2 linked regions of the Schizosaccharomyces pombe genome follow. The gene in region 1 interacts genetically with each later gene. Each region holds a gene or a part of one and is shown in the gene's direction. Other genes may lie near its edges. The genes, in order: nhe1 and pzh1.

The links.
Region 2: of nhe1 (region 1) and pzh1, a mutation in one rescues a mutant of the other (synthetic rescue), as found in Schizosaccharomyces pombe (one study listed by BioGRID).

Annotation. Positions count from the first base shown.
Region 1 is NC_003424.3:50,047-54,630, forward strand, and holds nhe1 (plasma membrane/prospore membrane sodium ion/proton antiporter Nhe1/Sod2), read left to right. Parts: upstream 1-1,942; 5' UTR 1,943-2,070; coding exon 2,071-2,194; exon of another isoform or gene 2,195-2,271; coding exon 2,272-3,554; 3' UTR 3,555-3,812; downstream 3,813-4,584. UniProt on the Schizosaccharomyces pombe protein: Sodium export from cell, takes up external protons in exchange for internal sodium ions. Involved in regulation of pH.
Region 2 is NC_003424.3:1,526,764-1,531,777, reverse strand, and holds pzh1 (serine/threonine protein phosphatase Pzh1), read left to right. Parts: upstream 1-2,005; 5' UTR 2,006-2,266; coding exon 2,267-3,814; 3' UTR 3,815-4,213; downstream 4,214-5,014. Other genes in the region: U3 snoRNP protein Utp14, read left to right, coding at 1-465; SPOM_SPAC57A7.07C (homocysteine methyltransferase), read right to left, coding at 663-1,589.

The DNA of each region.
Region 1 (4,584 bases):
GTGCGCGGTTTCGCAAGTGCAGATTTAATTTCGCTGCTCGTTTATGACCTTTTTTATTTTCAAGTAACATTTTGACATATGCAGATAAACTTTAGTTGTCTATACATGCGTCAGTTGGCCAAGTTACTCATCCGCGATACTTCAGCGTGATTTGTTACACAATAAGAGTAAAATTGTAGAGTAGAATTCGTATTTTCCTATTTATTTATATCTATTTTATCGGTCATTTTATCTACTCGCTTTTTTTTTAATATCATATTTTTAGCAATGCCATTTACAGCTTTTTTTCACCGCCAAGATAAGTCTTGTATTCAAACAGCGTTGCTTATCGAAGCTCCTACTTTTTGAATGCTGAAATGCAGTACAAACGTTCAGTAATAGTACCAAATAAATCTTTGTACGTTGGATACTCTAGTACTGTACCATCAGGCTACGTTACCAAATGATGAATGTGCATTCAGAAATATTATAGCCACGATGCTAAGCTCGTACTTTAGGTGAAAGACATGTTTCATTAAACATATCAGGCCCTCTTCACTATCGAAATTCTTATGTCTTTGGACCAATTGATAAGGTTTACAATCCTGTATCATTAGGTACAGTGGGTTAACTAGCTAGTGTACTAGATGACATGCAATCAACAGCGCTTTTAAAGAAATATTTAAAAATGACATTTCTTTATTACTATAAAAAAATAAAAAGAATTGTATAAAGTCTCGGTTGTTATCCTCTTAAATTAATTAGCTCAATGGCAGATATTACAATATACGAAAAATTCAGTGACCAATCTGTTGGGTACGATTAGGGCTGACCTCATCAAATTATAGTCTCGTTTGTTCAAGCTAAGTAAAAAATTAGGCTTGCTTTACAGCGAAAATAATATATATTCATATATAACAACGGTTTATTGTTTAAAGGCTAGAAGTAATGAAAATCGTCTTTTATAAAAGTCTAAATAGTATGAAATTTGATATTAAGTAAGCGAGTGGCCTTAAACGCTCTATATTCTGGATCTGCAACTCATGGGGTGAGACTCGGTTGTGTCTATGTAACTAACCTTGCCACCACATTGTGCATGAAAGCAAATGATTCATTTAAACGTAAAGTGTTTCTCGTTTTATTTGACATGAAAGGAGCTCTTGAATTCTTCCTAAGTTGTTCATGAGGAGAAATTGTCCACTGAAAAAGAACAAGTTCAAACATTCGCTCATGACTTTTCTCCTGCCCGTAATCGAAATACCAAATTCCTTCTGTGTTCGGTAGTCAATACCTTGGCCGTTATCTCATCAATTAACAAGTTTCCCCCACCAATGTGATTATAGGCCTGGCAATTCCTTTGACAGAACGTGTCAACTGGATATTTGTGTAATTTCGTCGTTCTCGTTAATCCCATACAGTTTTTCATTGCTAATTTAACTCTACATATGGTTGAATTACAAGAGTGCTTGTTTTATGCTCACTACTTCCTTTTTTAAGTAGTATAAAAGATTGACTTCTGTTACACTAGTAATCAAATCCTATAGAAAGAATTTTCAATATTTTTGATTTATTGCCACTTATGTCATATTGAGATAAAATGCCTTAATCCAATCAGGTCTTTTTAGCTAAGTTATAATCAAAGCTTTTTGCTGCCGAGGTATTAATAGCTTACAAGTGAGTACACAACACCCTTTCAATCAATTTAATGGTGCTAAATTTATATAAACATACGATGTATAACAATCGCACAATATTTACAATTCACTATCCTGCTAAAATTGTATAAAAAAAAATAATATAACAGCCCACCTCAAATGTGCTTAATCAGTCTCAGTGAATTTAAAATTGAATAGTTACTTAAAAGGCATGTTTTTTAAGTTGATAAGCGTTAAAACCCAAGTAACAAGCTTTGTTACTCCAATCAAAAAGATAACTAAGGTACCCCGGTCCTCAAGTATAAACCACAGGCATGCACGCATCAGTCCGTGGCTAACTGTATCTTTTGCCACATTTTATGTCGAATACTCTAAAAAAAATATTATAGGAATTTATTACAAGAAAACATTCTCTTGTGGATATTGCCTAATTACTATGGGCTGGAGACAACTTGATATAGACAAAGTCCATTTAGCTTTAATAGTGGCCGGGGGATTTATAACATTTTTCTGCTATTTTTCAGAAGTTTTTCGAAAAAAATTACTAGTTGGAGAAGCTGGTACGTTGAAGATATTGTATAGGGTGGTTTTTGAAAATTAGCAATTGATATAAAATAAGACTAATACTAGTGTGTAGTTCTTGGAAGTATCACTGGATTAATATTTGGGCCTCATGCTGCTAAACTCGTAGACCCTTTTTCCTGGGGTGACCATGGAGATTACTTGACAGTAGAGATTTGTAGAATCGTACTTGATGTGCGTGTGTTTGCTTCTGCAATAGAACTCCCCGGTGCATATTTTCAACATAATTTTCGAAGCATCATTGTAATGCTATTACCAGTTATGGCTTACGGGTGGTTAGTTACAGCTGGATTTGCATATGCATTGTTTCCACAAATTAACTTTTTAGGATCTTTGCTGATCGCAGGATGTATAACTTCTACTGATCCTGTTCTATCAGCATTGATTGTAGGAGAAGGTCCATTAGCTAAAAAGACTCCTGAACGGATTCGGTCTTTATTGATCGCTGAGTCTGGATGTAATGATGGAATGGCGGTTCCTTTTTTCTATTTTGCTATCAAACTTCTTACTGTTAAGCCATCGAGGAATGCAGGGAGGGATTGGGTGCTGCTTGTTGTGTTGTATGAATGTGCATTTGGTATATTTTTTGGGTGTGTAATAGGGTATCTTTTATCGTTCATTTTAAAGCACGCTCAGAAATACCGTTTAATTGATGCTATTAGTTATTATTCCCTTCCGCTAGCGATACCTTTATTATGTTCTGGGATAGGAACTATTATTGGAGTTGATGACCTGTTGATGTCCTTTTTTGCTGGAATATTATTTAACTGGAATGATTTATTTTCCAAAAATATATCTGCTTGTTCTGTACCTGCTTTTATTGATCAGACTTTTAGTTTACTATTTTTTACCTATTATGGTACAATCATTCCCTGGAATAATTTTAATTGGTCTGTTGAAGGCTTGCCTGTTTGGCGTTTAATTGTCTTTAGCATATTGACTCTAGTTTGTCGTCGATTACCGGTTGTATTTTCGGTGAAGCCTTTAGTTCCGGACATTAAGACATGGAAAGAAGCCCTTTTCGTTGGACATTTCGGACCAATAGGGGTTTGCGCAGTTTATATGGCATTTCTTGCAAAATTACTGTTGTCCCCGGATGAAATTGAAAAGAGTATTTATGAATCAACTACAGTATTTTCAACACTTAATGAAATAATTTGGCCGATCATTTCGTTTGTTATCTTATCCTCAATCATTGTTCATGGTTTCAGTATCCATGTATTAGTGATTTGGGGAAAGTTAAAAAGTCTGTATTTAAATCGAAAAGTCACCAAGTCCGATTCCGATTTGGAGTTACAAGTAATAGGGGTTGATAAGTCACAGGAAGATTACGTTTAGGAAAGCTCTTTTAATGTCAATTCGGATTTCCAAATTATTTTCAAATGTATTGTGAATCGCTGTCTCTGGTCAAAAAGATTACTGCACTCATATTTTGAAATTCCTTCTATAGTTGATATATACTATAAGATAAGTGATTCTCAGAATCACAAGGCTAACCACCAACAGGGATGGAGTGTATATTTTTGTTGTACATATATATTATCTACAATAGAGTAATTTTCGGCTTCTATAATTCATTTATTTTCTTACTACTCTAAAAATATTGTATAATTTCTAAAACTGATCAAGATACTGAGAAAAGTACAAATCGTTATTTAATTTGTAATTTATTTTGATGGCTAAAACTTACCAATATTCGTTCGCTTCAAACAATACCAATCTTACGAAACACCTTACGCTTCATCAAAGTCTACTTTGGATCACCTAATATTTTATTATTTGTTGTTGTAATTATACAAACTAATACTATTTTATGTAAGAAACTAAGAAAACGGAAAATCAATAGCTACTTTGTGTATATAAATAGCAATCAAATTAAAACTTGATAAATCTCACCTACTAAAACACATCAACGTACTTCAAAGGGCCTAACTACTATAAGACTTGGTAATATTTAAATAGTGTTTCTATTAGTAGGTAGCTTCAAAGTATGTATAAAGCTTTTGGAAGTAGATGAAGTATTGAATATCTCCTCCTAGATCAGTTATTAACTAAGTACGACTGAACCGGTGCTCCCAATTTAGTTGCAATCTATTTAGATGAGCTAGAATATAATTACACAGTAATCGGTATGGACTGAGTTTTAGCACCAATAAATTCTCACTAAACATAACTTCATCCCAAATATATACATATGTTTTGCAGAGAAACACCCCGCAGTTTATCATATCGTAAATGTCAGCAATATTACAATACGTTATGACTCTACGTTGCGTTATATGCCACATGTTCTATTTGCTCTATCAACTGTAAATAATAAGTTATCAAGATAAATTTATTACCATTTATGGTAAGAAACTATCAGTTA
Region 2 (5,014 bases), 1.5 Mb from region 1:
ACCAAAGGTCGTTTGTCAATTAAGCAGAGAGAGCTTGTTGCTAAAGCATTTGCTGGCGACGATGTTGTCGCTGAATTTGAAAAGGATAAAGAAGACTGGGTTCAAGAGGATGCACCGAAAGAAGAAGATCATAGTTTGCCCGGTTGGGGTTCATGGGGAGGTGTTGGCGTAAAACAAAGAAAGACTAAGCCTAAGGTTAAAAAAATTGCTGGACTAGATCCGTCAAAGCGGAAGGATTCTAAGCTAAAGCATGTGATTATTAATGAAAAACGCAACAAGAAAGCTGCTAAGCTTACTGCTGATAGTGTTCCGTTCCCATTTGAATCACGAGAACAGTATGAACGATCTCTTAACTTGCCTATGGGACCAGAATGGACTACTCGAGCTTCACATCATAAGGCTGTTGCTCCCAGAGTTGTTACCAAACGTGGTAAAGTCATTAATCCTATTAAGGCACCTAATTAGATTCTTATATGTACATTGAGTTTTGGATTTTTGTTATTAGATTGATATCTTTTGCAGTAGATTAGATACATTTGTAATGGATTTTGGGATATTGGGAAGAAATATATATTTTGAGGTAAATACTTTAAACAAGAAAAAAATTAATTCAATACAAATATATTAATATCATGAGGAAAATTAATTAAAATGGTTATAATTTACTTCGTTTTCTCCCGGAGTAAAGATAAGTGATTATAATTTGTTTCACAGCATCCACCGAGTATCAGGTTTCCATTATGTAGATTTGAGTATTTAGCCGTTATAGTTGACCATTCTTCAGGTGAAGGGGCAGGATGATCTGTTGAGCCAGGTGAAAAAGTACCGTCTGGATTTTGATACAACCCGCGGCCGTCAGGGTACAAAATAGCAGTTATGTTGGATGGTAAAAGACTGGATAGCATTTTTGCGATGGGTTCGAGTAAACTGAGGTGAAAGCAATTAACACCGATGCCCCATATAGAGTCATGATTGATGCTCAGTATCTTGGAGATAATGGACGATACTCGTTCAATAGTGCTGCGCTCAGGGCACGTACAGGTGATCCAGCAACGCTTAGACCAACCTTTCATATCTTGAATGAGTTGGCATACTACTTCTGCTTCAGTCACGTGAGGAAGGCTTTCAAATGCAATGAAGTCAATTTTTTCGAAAGCTTTAGGATTAGATGCTTGAATGGCTTCAATTCTGTTTTTATGAAAATTGTATAGCATTTCAAAATCGGTGGGTTTATCATAAATCATTTTGTATTCCATACATCCAGGAATAGTAGCAGCATGACTTCCGAGACATAAAGCAATATATTTGTTGGGCAAACCCAAATGTTCTCTAGCATAAACAGGTAACCCAATGCTGTTTGCGTAAACCTGTTTTAATGGTACACCTTCTACCTTTTCGTCGTAGATAGAAGCATCCAGTTGATAAGTGAAAGTACTAATAATGTCGCAAACTTTTAAAAATTCTTCATGATGCTTAACAACGATCTCTGGATAACGCACCAGTGCTTCAGAGGTCCATAATCTAGACTCAGATATACTTTCAGGAAGCTTTGGAAGAATGGCAGTAGAGCCACCGTCTAACATAAGCATTTTGGAAAACTCAAAAATTGGGAAAAATAGTTCAACGAACAGCAAAAATGGTATCTCAGGTTATACACTAGTATTAACAGATGTAACTGCCTTTTGATGGATATTACAACAGTTTAGAGAATATCGCACAATCAGAAACCCAATCGACCCAAAACAAAAACATTTGAGTAAGAATCAGACTAGTATATAACGTAACGCGAAATTTTTCCATATTTAATTTAACGTTAATTTACGTGGATCAATTGCGCCTTTTATTTTACTTTGGAATACACTGCAGTTATTATACAGTAAGTGCGCCATCATCGTTGCACCACACTAGATGGACCCAGCGAGTTCAGTTCTCGAGTAAGATGGAACGGGCTACTACGTCTATCAGATTTATACTACACTTCCCATCACTTGTTAACCCATTCTTCACCACGACCTTACAAATTTTTAAACGATTGTGTTTTGTCAGCAAAGCAAAACATTTTTATAGACCAGGATTACTTGAAGAAGAGAAAATCTACTAATTTACGGAAAATATCGAAAAATAGAAAAAATCTAGGTACAATTGGGAAACCTTTTAATTTTGGCACTAAATGCAAGCAACGAAGTCTCGATTTTGAAGTAAAAAAGAAAATAAAAATAGAACAAAGTGGAATAGTTTCCCGGAATCTACCATTAATTGAAATACAATGGGACAGGGGAGCAGTAAACACGCCGACAGCAAGCTCGATTCCTACCCATCCTTTTCTCGGTCAGACACTCAAGGATCCATTAAGTCTTTAAAGTCTCTGAAAACAGTCCTGGGGAAGGGCAAAGACTCGAATCATGATCGCCGAACGTCTACTGATACAACCCATAGTCGTCACCGGTATCCCGAAACACCACCAAGCCTTCCTCCTCCTCCTTCTCCTGGGATATTAGCTACATCTCCGGCTGTGTTGCAAAAGCATCAACAGGAGGATTCGGGAAATTCTTCTCAATCTCCGACGTCGCCGCATCCTTCTAACCAGCCTGCCATGCTTAGTCCCTCTACGGCCGCTTCCCAGCATCATCATCATCATTCTTCTTCTTCTTCTTATGCCGTTTCTCCAACATCACCTACCTCACCAACCAGCTCTGGCCCAATTGGCTCCAACTTTGATTCAGCTTCTGAGCATAATGGTCCTGTGTATCCACAAGATCAGCAGGGGCCCGTAATTATCCCTAATTCGGCAATTTCTTCTACGGATCCTGATGATCCTGAAACAGTTGTTAGCCTTAACGTAGATGAAATGATTCAAAGATTGATCCATGTTGGCTATTCTCGAAAAAGTAGTAAAAGTGTGTGTCTAAAGAATGCTGAAATTACCAGCATTTGTATGGCCGTACGAGAAATATTTCTTTCGCAGCCGACACTTTTAGAATTGACCCCGCCGGTGAAAATCGTTGGTGACGTTCATGGTCAATATTCCGATTTAATTCGACTGTTTGAAATGTGTGGGTTTCCTCCGAGCTCTAATTATTTATTCTTAGGCGATTATGTCGATCGTGGTAAGCAGAGTCTTGAAACCATCCTCTTGCTCTTTTTGTACAAGATCAGATATCCAGAAAACTTTTTCTTGCTACGGGGCAATCATGAATGCGCTAATATCACTCGCGTTTACGGTTTTTACGATGAGTGTAAAAGACGTTGCAATATCAAAATTTGGAAGACTTTCATAAACACCTTTAATTGCTTACCCATTGCGTCCGTTGTAGCCGGTAAAATTTTTTGCGTTCATGGTGGTCTTTCTCCATCGTTAAGTCATATGGATGACATACGGGAGATTCCTCGTCCTACTGACGTTCCTGACTATGGATTGCTGAATGATTTGTTATGGTCAGATCCTGCTGATACTGAAAACGATTGGGAAGATAATGAACGAGGTGTTTCTTTTGTTTTCAACAAAAACGTTATCCGGCAATTTTTGGCCAAGCACGACTTTGATTTAATCTGTCGTGCTCACATGGTTGTTGAAGACGGTTATGAATTTTTTAATGACAGAACTTTATGTACGGTGTTTTCTGCCCCTAATTACTGTGGGGAATTTGATAATTGGGGGGCCGTGATGAGTGTTAATTCAGAGCTGCTTTGTTCCTTTGAACTTATAAAGCCTCTCGACCAGGCAGCAATTCGACGAGAATTAAAAAAGAGCAAGCGTAGTGGTATGGCTATTTATCAATCTCCCCCTGCTGAGCAGGTTACCCAAAGCGTGTAAGCATTCTATTTTTTCTATTTTGGTCTCCATTTGAAATTATCTAGCGGTTTTATTGGGACACTATTTTATTCTCTTAAATGAGTATTATCTGTTATTATGTTATAGTCACTATGGTGATGGATCAAGTCCTTGGTTCACTTTATCGGTTCGAGGGCAATTCCATCCTGACACGTTTAGTATAAGTTTCTGTTTCTTTTAATAAAAACACAATCATTTCCATATAGTGACAGTTAACTTGCTTTTTATTTTTGCTAACCGACACCTGCTGAACATCGAAAGAGTAGGTAAAAAATTTACATGAGGAGGAAATAAACAATTATTATAGTATTATTATTAGCATTAAATAAATTTAAAGCGAAAATGTATCCATTTCTTTGTAAATCTTCTATCAATTACTAATCTCCCATACGATGGGCTTAAAACAACACTTTGAAAACTAAAGTTGAATGTGGTATCGTACTTAAGTACTTCTTTCCATGATCCATTTGTGATAAGTATTTTGGTTTCCTTATTGTATAATGAGTAAGCTACTTTTGTTGCATAATGCTGCCAAGTAGGCAGTTCTTTGATAAATCTCCTGCGTTGTTTTGTTTGTGTCAGCTTTTTCGTTCAATCAAGATATTTTATCACATTATTTCAAGGTTCAATGAATCATTCGAAGAATAGTAACGAATTCAGATATATTAAATAAAGGCACACATAATCTCTAAAGATTACAGTTTAATGGCTCTTTCAAAGTGTTTAGTAATATATACACTAAATTTCTAAAATTCAGTAGTTATGGCGAAGTGGCCGAGTGGTCTATGGCGCTAGCTTCAGGTGAAAGCAATTGCTAGTCTACGTATGTGGGCGTGGGTTCGAACCCCACCTTCGTCAATATAATTTTTTATATCATGTTAATGGAATTGAGAAAAAGCAAGCTGTCAGTTTATACTTTCAATGTTATGCAGAAACCGTTTTATTTCAATTATTTACACTGTTTGACACTACTAAAGCAGAGTTAATTGTAATGAGACATAACGGTACATGGTGCTTCGACTTTCATAACCATTAAAGAAAAGAAGAATGTCTTGATTTTGGCTTATTTAAAGACCCATTGTGACTGGAAAAACAAATGACCCTACGTAGTAAAGGGTAAAATGAATTTTTTTTAATTTTTTTTTTAGATTCAATGTAGAAATATAATCGATTATCAGATTC